Caenorhabditis elegans: one gene and its partner. The protein of the gene in region 1 binds, or shares a complex with, the protein of each later gene. Each region holds a gene or a part of one and is shown in the gene's direction. Other genes may lie near its edges. The genes, in order: mec-12 and atat-2.

Evidence for each region.
Region 2: the proteins of mec-12 (region 1) and atat-2 are in contact, whole or in part, in a cryo-EM structure (PDB 8YAL), measured with the Caenorhabditis elegans proteins. Residues at the interface, in NP_497663.1 of Caenorhabditis elegans: Leu26 (codon at 3,612), Glu27 (codon at 3,615), His28 (codon at 3,618), Gly29 (codon at 3,621), Gln31 (codon at 3,627), Pro32 (codon at 3,630), Pro37 (codon at 3,645), Ser38 (codon at 3,648), Asp39 (codon at 3,651), Ser41 (codon at 3,657), Leu42 (codon at 3,660), Gly43 (codon at 3,663), Gly44 (codon at 3,666), Ser45 (codon at 3,669), Glu55 (codon at 3,699), Pro364; in NP_001379875.1 of Caenorhabditis elegans: Trp51 (codon at 2,133), Lys52 (codon at 2,136), Arg53 (codon at 2,139), Ile55 (codon at 2,145), Arg89 (codon at 2,971), Lys93 (codon at 2,983), Thr94 (codon at 2,986), Leu95 (codon at 2,989), Tyr96 (codon at 2,992), Thr98 (codon at 2,998), Gln104 (codon at 3,016), Leu113 (codon at 3,043), Asp114 (codon at 3,046), Asp148 (codon at 3,208), Lys149 (codon at 3,211), Ser171 (codon at 4,233), Asn172 (codon at 4,236), Lys173 (codon at 4,239), Tyr174 (codon at 4,242).

The regions. Positions count from the first base shown.
Region 1 is NC_003281.10:3,136,110-3,141,288, reverse strand, and holds the start of mec-12 (Detyrosinated tubulin alpha-3 chain), read left to right. Parts: upstream 1-2,054; 5' UTR 2,055-2,154; coding exon 2,155-2,157; intron 2,158-3,539; coding exon 3,540-3,762; intron 3,763-5,179.
Region 2 is NC_003284.9:5,847,235-5,852,601, forward strand, and holds atat-2 (Alpha-tubulin N-acetyltransferase 2), read left to right. Parts: upstream 1-1,865; 5' UTR 1,866-1,873; coding exon 1,874-2,014; intron 2,015-2,123; coding exon 2,124-2,218; intron 2,219-2,942; coding exon 2,943-3,114; intron 3,115-3,174; coding exon 3,175-3,268; intron 3,269-4,224; coding exon 4,225-4,376; intron 4,377-4,422; coding exon 4,423-4,560; 3' UTR 4,561-4,737; downstream 4,738-5,367. Other genes in the region: hog-1 (HintN domain-containing protein), read right to left, coding at 4,831-4,890, 5,005-5,220, 5,268-5,365. UniProt on the Caenorhabditis elegans protein: Specifically acetylates 'Lys-40' in alpha-tubulin/mec-12 on the lumenal side of microtubules. Promotes microtubule destabilization and accelerates microtubule dynamics; this activity may be independent of acetylation activity.

The DNA.
Region 1 (5,179 bases):
TAAAGTACCCAGCTACAACACCCAACGATTTTTGGGGCGAGACCCATATTTTCAGAAATTTTTGAATTCTTTAGAATCTAGCCATGATTATACTTAAATAAAAACTATAAATGTGCGGATTTTCAATTTACAATAAATTTTAAATTTCAGAACAAAATCGGCAAGTTACTGGGGCTAACTCCAAAATGTTAAAAATGTTTAAAAAATGTTGAAAATTCTCGAAATTTTAACTTTGATCGAAATTGAAATTTTTTGCCGAATTTTTTCTGTAAAATTAAAGCTATCGTCAAACTCTTTTTTACAAAATCAATAAAATACACAAACTGAAAAAAAAACAATTCAGCTAGACAATTTGAGATTTTTCGATTTTTTTTCAAAAATTTTCAAAAACTGCACAACAAAATTCCCTTCGTTCTTTTTTCTCAAAGCCTTTTCTTCTCAAAATTTATCATTTTCCAGTTCTTCCAAGAATATGAGACCCTATCAAAAATGAATGAAAAAGGAAGATCATCAGCTTAAAAATTCATACAACAGTGGTCCCAAGTCCCCCAAAAAATTCCAAATTCATCAAAATTTGAGTGTTAGAAATTGTGATAAGGTCCTAGGATCCTATTGGTAGTAGGGAAAAACTTAAAATTTAACAAAAAAAAAGGAATTTTTTTGAAATTATACTAGTTTTGAATACATTTTAAGCAGTAAAGGCCAATAAATACACAGCTGAATACTAGTCACCGCAAGCTTCATCGCAGAGCTCTGAATCTGAATGCATTAGGAGGTTCTTTCCATTTCCATCGGTAAACCAATCCTTTTGCTCATTTCCAGATGGCTTTCTCTCTCGGCTCTCTCCACCTTACACACTATTTCCTTGGATTACTGTAGTTGGGCGGAGTCTCTAAGGGGTAACCTGATACTGTTTGCTGAGGGCTCACGGAGCCAGAGAGGGCAGATGGCTGGAAATTGGTGGAAGTGGTGGGGAGAAGAATGTGTTGTTGGAAAATGTAAAAATTAATTTTTAATTATTAATTTTTTAACATGTAGAAACTTTAAAAAATTCAACTGACTTGCGAAAAGGTTTTGAAAAATTACAAAAAAATTTCAAAGCAAGAAGTTTTTTTTCAATTGTTTTTTAATCGATTTCTCTCAAAAACCTGTAGAGCTACGAAAAAATTGTCAACAAACAAAGTATAGCTCTAAAAATTGTCTACAATTTGCTAGTGAACAAATTTTTGATAACTTTCCTGGTTTTTGAGATATACAGCTTTATCTACAAAAAACGATTTTTTTTCAAACTGTATTTTGAAAAACTGAACTAGAATAATAATTGGGATCCGAAAATTTTAATATTTTTGATGTTTTTTTGTGGAATATTCGGCAAACTTACCAAGCTCGGTGAATGGCAAATTTCGGAAAATTTGCCGCACACCCTGGCATGTACCTTTCACCTAGGTTCCTTTAGACACATGTATTTCCGCGACGAGATAATGTATCAAAAAGTTGTCAACTTACAAAGTGTATCAAATTTCAAGAGCTTAATTTTGTTTGTTGGCAATTTTTGATAACTCACCTGGTTTTTGAGATACGTACGTTTGAATTTTAAATTTAAAAAAAATTGTAGAAACTTTTTTTTGAAAACTTCTCACCAAAACTAGGTCTTTAGAGTCCTTTCTAATTTGCCTTTGGGCAATATGTTACTTTTTCCCCAGTAACAGTTAAATTATATGAAGTAGAAGTTTCGCGATGGGAAATATCAAAATGTAGAACATCATAAAAGCTATATTTTGCTAATTACCAGCAGAGATATAAGATTTTTAAACACTGTCAAGGAAATTTTTTATTTTGTATTTTATTAGTTTTCAACAGAATTTTAATATGTCAAAACCAATGTTCTTAACAATTTCGCAACATTTTAATTTAATTTCGTTTTTTCTCTGTTTTTCGGAATTTCATGTCGTCTCCTTTCCCATCCTAAACATGGAGCTCGCGGAGCAAAAAAAGAAACATAGGAGGGGCGGAGCATGTGTCAACACGGAGAGACGCAGAGAAGGCACGTCTTCAGAAAAGAGGCTCACAGAGCACAGAGCCCCACTTGTGTGTGTTCTGTTCCATCTCAACTCGTCGCCCAGCAAACACAACTTGTAGCTCCTCTTTTGCAAAATGGTGGGTTTTCTAGATTTTCTGAACAATGTTTATTTGAATGTTTAGATTCTTGAGATGCTAGAAATGAATTCTTGTGAAAAATGAATTTTGAAACATTTAAACCTCGCCATAAAAACTTTACGAATCTGATTTCTTGTTAAAACTACCAGTATCTAGAAAAATAACGTGAATACTAAAAATTTGTCAACAGACAAAATATAGACCTTGAAATTTCCTACATTTCGTTAGTTGAAACTTTTCTTCTAACTCTTTTCCCTGTGGAGATATACTCGTTCAAAATGTAGCAAGCCAAACAGTGTGGAAGGGGGCTGTCTGCGTCTCTTCTCGTGCCACACTATTCCAGTCCTCCTAACTTTAACAGGGCATATCTCCGTTCGGAAAGCAACTGTCAAAAAGTTGATAACTAACAAAATGTAGGAAATGTTAAGTGCTGCATTTTGTTTGTTGAAATTTTTTGATATCTCAGCTCTTCGCTGAGATACAAACACTTAAAGTTAGCGACGAGATAGTGTAAGAAGTGGTGAGACGCAGACGCCATCGCCGTCTGCGTATGCGTTATCAGGACACATCTTGGTTAGGAACCCTGATATCAAAACAAATTATTTTAACAATTTTAGGAAAAAAAAACAATTTTTCGAAATTTGATTTTGAAAAACTAGGATTTTAGGATTTATTAACTCTTCCACCTCAACACCCCTTCAACATTTTTTCGACTCATTGAGCACACCTGGTGCCAGGTCCGGACTTCCGGAGCCCCACCACATAAACACAGGAAATGTTGCCAATTCAACTGAAAAATGCTCCGCGCCGAGCAGGACGGGGCGAAGGAGGGTTGTTGAGGAGTTGAGACGAGCAACACAAAATGTATCCAATTTGGGCGAAAATTGACTTTTTTCTCTTTCTTTTTGCGGGTGGAACTTTAGGGAGGAGAGGACTATTCCTAGAAGAAATACGCACTCTTCGTGGCGAGACCCGCGAAATTTTATTGAAAATTGAGTTTTACAATAAAATAGTGGGTTTGAACAAATTTGAAATTCGCCACGAATGTAAATTTTTCAGAGGGTTTGATCTACCTGTCTACCTGTAATACATATCAGATATCGTAGTAAACTTTTTAAAATGAAAATTTGAAATTTTGATTCAAAAATTCAAATTCACCACGCTGTGAGCTTCAATTCAAGTATAGTCATGCCTAGGTTTCACTGAGAAAACTGGGTCCCACCGCGAAAACTACAGTACCCCATGTAGACACTTTCGTGACGGGACCCAAATCTAAAGGAACATAGCCAATATGGGGCTTAATTTGAAGCTCTTCGTTTGCTGAATTCAAATTTTATAATAAAACCCTTTAAAATCTACAAACAAAAAAAGTTATCTTGCAGAGAGAAGTAATTTCGATTCACATCGGACAAGCCGGAGTCCAAATCGGAAATGCTTGCTGGGAGCTCTACTGCCTGGAGCACGGAATTCAGCCCGATGGTCAAATGCCTTCTGACAAGTCCCTCGGAGGATCCGATGACTCTTTCAGCACTTTCTTCTCGGAAACTGGAAGTGGACGTCATGTGCCAAGAGCCGTCATGGTCGACTTGGAGCCAACTGTCATTGGTGGGGGATTTTTTTTAAGAAGATATTTTTGAATTTTCACTTAAATTTTTGAAATCAGTGTTAAAAGCCCGTTAAAATAAGTATAATCATGACTAGGTTCTGAAAATGCTGAAATTTTTGGGTCCCGTCACGAAAACGTATGTGGTACTGTAGCAATCTTACAGAGATGTTAAAAATTATTATTTTTGCGTAGTTCAGGACTTTACGCATTTATAACTTCTAATTTCCGCCCAAAACTTTAAGTTTTGGCACATTTATGGATTTTCGAAAAATTTCGAAAATCAAAAAATTTAAATTTTCAAAACGGCACAGCAATATTCCCAGTTTCACCGCAAGACCTAATTTTTTTGGTTTTCATATTTGGCATTTTGAGAACTTTCATTTGAATATGCAAACATAACTAAGCTATGAAAATTCTGAAGGGGTACTGTAGCTCTCGTGGCGGGACCAAACTTTTTTGGAAATCTGGTCATGATTATACGTATTTTGAAGGTGTCGGAAAGCTGAAAAAAATTTTAAAATTTTGAGTTAAAAGGTCTAACTTTATGACTTTTTGTGGTTCTGCGAAAAAACGCAATTGGAAAATTTTTGATATTAGGCTTCTCCGAAAACCCTAGAAAAACGTCACCAATTCCATTTCGGCTCAATTTTCAAAGAGCTCTTCCTCTTTTTGCTTCAAATGGCGAGCCCATTGTGATGTAATTAGACGCAGACACTACACATCTGCTAACATGAATGGATGTACTCTCTCCAAGAATTTAATGGAATTGGAGTAGGACACCCTATTAGGGATGCAAATGGAAAATGTTTTGCTATTTGACGGAGGAAATTTTGAACATTTTCAGAGAAATTTGGGGTATCTGAAAATACTATACAAAATTTCTCACATTTTGTTAGTTGAAACTTTTTTGATAGCTGTTTTCTACGCAGAGTTACAAACGTTTTAACGTGTCGTTGTAAAAGATCGTGGGAGAGAAAGAGACGCAGACAACGAGCGCGACTGCGTCTCCCCTCCCTCCACACTCTCTCACTGTTCTTACTTTAAACGCGTATATCTCCGCGATGAGGAGAGCTATCAAAAAGTTGACAACTACCAAGTTGTAGGAAATTTTGAGCTCTATAATATGTTAATAAACAATTTTTTATTAACTCAACTTCCGGCAAAGTTATAGGCGTTTCAAGTTAGTCTAGAAAATTTGTTTGTCGTTAGTTTTGCAACTAAAACCAAAAGTTCCATGTTCCATCAACTTCCCAAATAGACAAAGTATACTCTCGGGAGGAAGCTCATCTTCCCCTCTCACCAACAAACTTCTTCGTCTGCTATTCATATAAAAAAGAAGAAAAGATGAGAAAATGAAGGGAGGGAAAGGGATGAAGAACATTGGATATTCATCGAAAACCGAAACCGAAATAAGGA
Region 2 (5,367 bases), on another chromosome or scaffold:
TGCCCTCTCATTATTCAATTCGAACAATGGCGCATCCGGCCCCATTCCCTCCAAATCTTTTCGTCCGATCTCCTCCGTACTCACACATCCTTTTGAACAATGGATTATTATAATTCCAAGGTGTGTCAGTCAGGGCATCTTACTTTTCAATTTCCAAATCGACACCCCACGGAAGCTGGACCTTTTGTAAAATACGACACGCGCACGCGTGCCACCGAACTACTTCTCTCTTTCATTGCGCATGTCCTCTCACCCCCCGAAAAGCAGACTCCCTTTTGGAATCGATTGTTCGTGCCCACTTTTCCGGCTTTATTTCGCAACACCACTTCTCGCTCCGTCTCACCACATTACAAATTCCCATACGATTCGGGAGAGTTGTAGCATTTTGAAATATATCTTGGCATAGTAGTTTTGCAATCGAAGCATCTGCTCAGAGCTCTTTTTTTGAGTAGTCATAGTAATATTATTTTTACTAACATCATATTCAAAATAATTTTTTGTATATTTGAAATTATTGATTCGTTTTGAAATTTATGCATAGTATACTTTTTCAATAGGGTTGCACAAAATATATATGGATTTTAATAGTATCTACGTTTTTGGTCTAGCAAATAATATTGAGTTTTAAACTTTTTCTCTTCAATTTCGACCAGTTTAAATGTGATGAACAATAGAGCAACTCGGTAATTGGTTTTTAACTTTCAAATATATTTTTTCGCGGAAATGTTTTTTAAAATGATAAAAACTGCATAGTTTTATCTGAGAAATCAAAAATTGTTTCTATTTTTGATCAATTTATATTTTTAAAATCAATGCATCTGACTCCTACAATTTTTTCGTTTTTTCGATTAGTTGTTTAAATCTGTTTTAAAATGTATAAAATAATCTATAATACATTTCTAAAATAATTTATCCAATGAAATTATATTTCTGTTCACTGCATAGATTTGGTTGGGAAGTAAAATTAAAAATGCCACATTTTTTAAAAATAACATTCATTCGAATTGTACTATTTTTCAAAATTAACTCATCTGTGGGTTTATTGTCTTAAACTGTACGATTATTAGCAAACCAAAAAAAATCTGGGCTTTTTCATAGTTTTTTATCGTTTTTTTCACAAATTTTTCTCATATTTTCCTTTGATATTCCTAACTATTTGACTGAGTAATACAATTTATAGACGGAGTTGGGAAATCGGATTTTTGTCTTAATATTTAGCAAAAATATGCTGGTGTTATACAGGTAATCGCTGATTGGTTGCATTAGTCATTTTGGAAAAATTCAAACAAAAAAATTAGCAGAAGCTGGTAATTTGCAATTTTACGAACTGGACTTTTTCATCTTCCACTATTTATTTTCATTTGGTTTGTCGAAAGTCCACCTTTGAGACAATAATCGCAAAAGTAATAGTCCATATTTAATTACTCTCCACTCGAACCTGTTCGATTGTATAATGTTTGCACAAAAATGAATATTTCATAACTATACTCCGTCATCAATGTGCAAACATTCATACTCGAGCACTTGTACCACATTCTTAAACTTTCCCTCCGCAGTTCTTCATTCACCCACCTGCTTTGATTTTCTCCGCCAATCAATCGAGAAGTATTCAGTGAATCATAAATAAATGACATGTGTGTATCCCATCAAGTTTTTTTTCTCGCATCCTATTTCTTTCCCTTCCTTTTTTTTTCGTACCCCGTTTTATTCCTTCTCTCTTTTCCATATATTGCGGCCGAGGCCAGTAGTCTCGTGTCTTCCGCCCATTTTCTTTAATCGCGTACATAGTCCCTCTCAACTTATCCCAAATTTGTTTCCTTCAGTCCAGCTTAAGTTTCATACTATTTTTCTGTATCACTTTTGTTGCAGAAACATGGAGATCGCATTCGATTTGTCAACAATTTTTACGGATAACATTCAACGTCTCACTCGAACTGACCTATTGAAGTATGGACCAAAACGATATTGGGCTGTGGCTCAAAGTATAGATTGCCTGGGTGAAATGTCATCAAAGGTAGGTTCATGTTTTTTTCCAGAACTTTTTTGAAGGTTATTAACAATGCAAAACTTTTTATATGGCTTAGACAATTGAAAATGCACGGCATTTGTCTTTTTTTTTGCAGTTCCACGGATGGAAGAGAGTCATCACAATGTATGACAAGATCGTTGACCATGACGAGGAGCAGACGACCTACATTATGTGGGAGAAAGTTAATGGGTAAGGCATTTTGAAAGTGAAAACTGGAAATTATAAATTAAAAAAGTGGAAAGAATGTTTCAAAGGTGGAGTAGCGAAATGTGTTGCACATTTTGATCCTTGGCTTCGCGTTTTGAATTTAATACGTTTTGAATTTAATACGTTTTTATTAATAAGTATGAAAATTTTGGAATATTTAAAATGTTTGTTTTTTTGTAAATTGATAAACGCAATAAGGATTGCAACATTAAATAGTAGTTTAAAATTAAAAAAAAAAGATTTTTGAAAAGCTTTCATGAGGTTTTCATATACCTGAATATTGCAGTGTGTATATGAAAAAAAAAGATATAACTTTCAATAATTTGTCCATACCTCTTACTAATAGTAAGACCGTATTTTGAACTTCGAATTTCTTACTTGAATAAATCCTTATATAATCCTTATATATAAACCAACAATCTTTGTTATTGCAAAAAATATATATTGATATTAATTCTAAGAATTTCCAGTCAACAGTTTGTTTTGGTTTTGGCGAATAACCCAATTTTTGAATTTAGAGTTTTGTTGCTTTGCATCCTACAACGCATAATTAAATATAAGTTTCAAATTTATTTTAGTTTTGACTAAAAATATAAATGTAAAACTTAAAAATATATATTTTGGAATTCAATTTTTTTTGCTCATGATTAAAACTAAATTGGGAAAATCGTTCAAAAAAAAAGTTATCTTAATTATTGCTTTTCAGAAGCAAAAGTATACTCAAAGGGTTGCTTCGAGTTGGATATAAAACGCTTTATCTGACAGATAATGAACAAAATCAGTACATGGAAAAAGCAATGTGCATTTTGGACTTTTTCGTTGTGCCCACCGAACAACGCTCCGGAAATGGATTCAAAATGTTTGATGAAATGTTAAAAGTATGTTTTTTTAAATGTTTGTAGAAAAGTGACTTAGAGTTTTTAAATGTTCTACTTCAGGCTGAAAACGTAACAGTAGACCAATGCGCATTCGACAAACCATCAGCTGCTCTCCAACAATTTCTAGAAAAATATTATGATAGAAAAGATTTGGGTAAGTAAATTGCATTCTTGTACCACCGATACATTACAAAATTCGGCCGACAGCAAAGACCGACAAGGTAGATACAGCTCACAGCACCTAAACATACCCGATACTAGTGGATTTCGCACTGGATTAGCTGTTGCTCGCAACCGCAGACTTATTCCGGGTTCCGCGCTAAAGCATACTTTGCATGGAAGTAGCTGGAGCTCTGATAAGCTGATAAGATAATGCATTTTGAAGAGAGTGCTGAATGAGTGAGCAACAATGAAATCACCCGAGTTTCGTTGGCAATGAGCAGTTGTCTTTCATTAGTCATAATCAAAAGTTTTGTTTTTTTAGTAGTATGTCATTAATAATTGGTGTGGAATAAAAAGTTAATATGAAACAAATAAAACATTGATACAATATTCTATTGAAAACTAGTCCATAAAAATAGCTGAATAAAACTCGAATTTGTTATTAATTTTTGCTCGTAAAACAGAAAAATTTATTTCCTCCACTTTCTTGACAGAAATGGATCCCAAAACCTAATTTTAAGCTGAGTTTCATTTGAAAATGTTTAAACACTTTTAGAAAATTCAAATAGGAAAGAATTATTGAACTCATCCATTTTTATCAATAATACTTGTCGAAAGCTTGCCGGAAATGTATTTATGATTACTTAGTATTTTGAATTTTGAACTAATAAAAATACCAGAACGATATTGTTTAAAATCTTTTTAAAAATCAAACTATCGCTCTATTTTCAAATTTGAATTAAATTGCATAAGTAGTTAGTTCACAGTTTTAAAAACTTTATCAATCCATTGTTAGTTTCTTAAATTTATTTCAGTCTTTGGATGCCAAATTATATTCAGAAAAAAAAGCCTTACTTGCAACAGTCATCAATTTGTATGCAAAAAACTTGATACTTAGTTTACGACCGTATTATATGTAGAAATTCTCATCATCCGCAACATTTCCAGTATGGCAATCAAACAAATATGCATTATGTTCAAATTTTTTCATTGGACGTCACCCAACTGTTCCATTCACCCCTCGCCAGACAAAACGAGCGTCTCGAGCCAGTTCAGCTGTGTCCAGTCATGCATCCAGCCGTAACACCTCCCCAATTGGGGTTTGTGAATAAAAAAATAGTTGTTTTGCAAAAAATAATATTTCAGCGCAATCGCCCCCGTCACGACTCGGTTGCTGATTTGATGCGCCAGGATATGTTAGCCGGAGTGCGTGCTGAAGTAGACCCAAATAGTCCAACAGGCTTGAAAAATGCTCGAGATTTTGGACATCGCCGGATTTGGTGATAAGCTGCTAGTTTTTGATTATTTACTTTGGCGGCAGTACACAATAAATATGCCTCCTTGCCTTAGTTATGATCTCATGATTTTTGATATTTCAATCCTTTTTCATAATTCTTCTAATCGCTTAATATCAAAGTTGGCTGTTTTCAAACTCAAAATAATAAATACGAATTATTCATACACAATGAACATAATTATTTAATTTTTAAAATATCAACAAAAAACTCGTAATAAAAGATAGAATGTAATTAGATGATTGAGTTAAATTTTCAGTTATGGTATTACTAACCGGAGTACGTCTGAAGCTAATGCTGAACCGATTGGGATTGTGGCCTAAAATGCAAAAGTTTTTGATTGATGGTAACCTAAACAGGTATCTAGAGAGATCTAGAGTTCAATTAACCGAATAGGGTCGTTTTTTTTTCAATTTTAAAAAGTTGCACTCACTTTGTGAAAGACAGTTTCTCCAAATATCCATAACCAGCTCTGTGCATAGGCTATGGTAGAATAGTAATCGGATTGTAACCGTGTGTGCTTGATTCCACTGAAAACCGATGCTACGATATCATTCACAATAATTCGCCCGTTTTTTGTTATTGGGGCATAAATTCCCTTTCTTTCGGTTATCGATATTCTCATGACTCTTTGTTGGCGAAATTTTCCCTAAAATAGAAATCAATTGTTATTGGAAAACTGAACAGAAAACTTACTTTGTAAAGAAGAACTAGACAATCTCCAACTTTAAGCTCTTCAGCGTAGACCACGTTTCGACCTTTGGGAAGGTATTTGACGTACTCCGCGTAGTTTTCT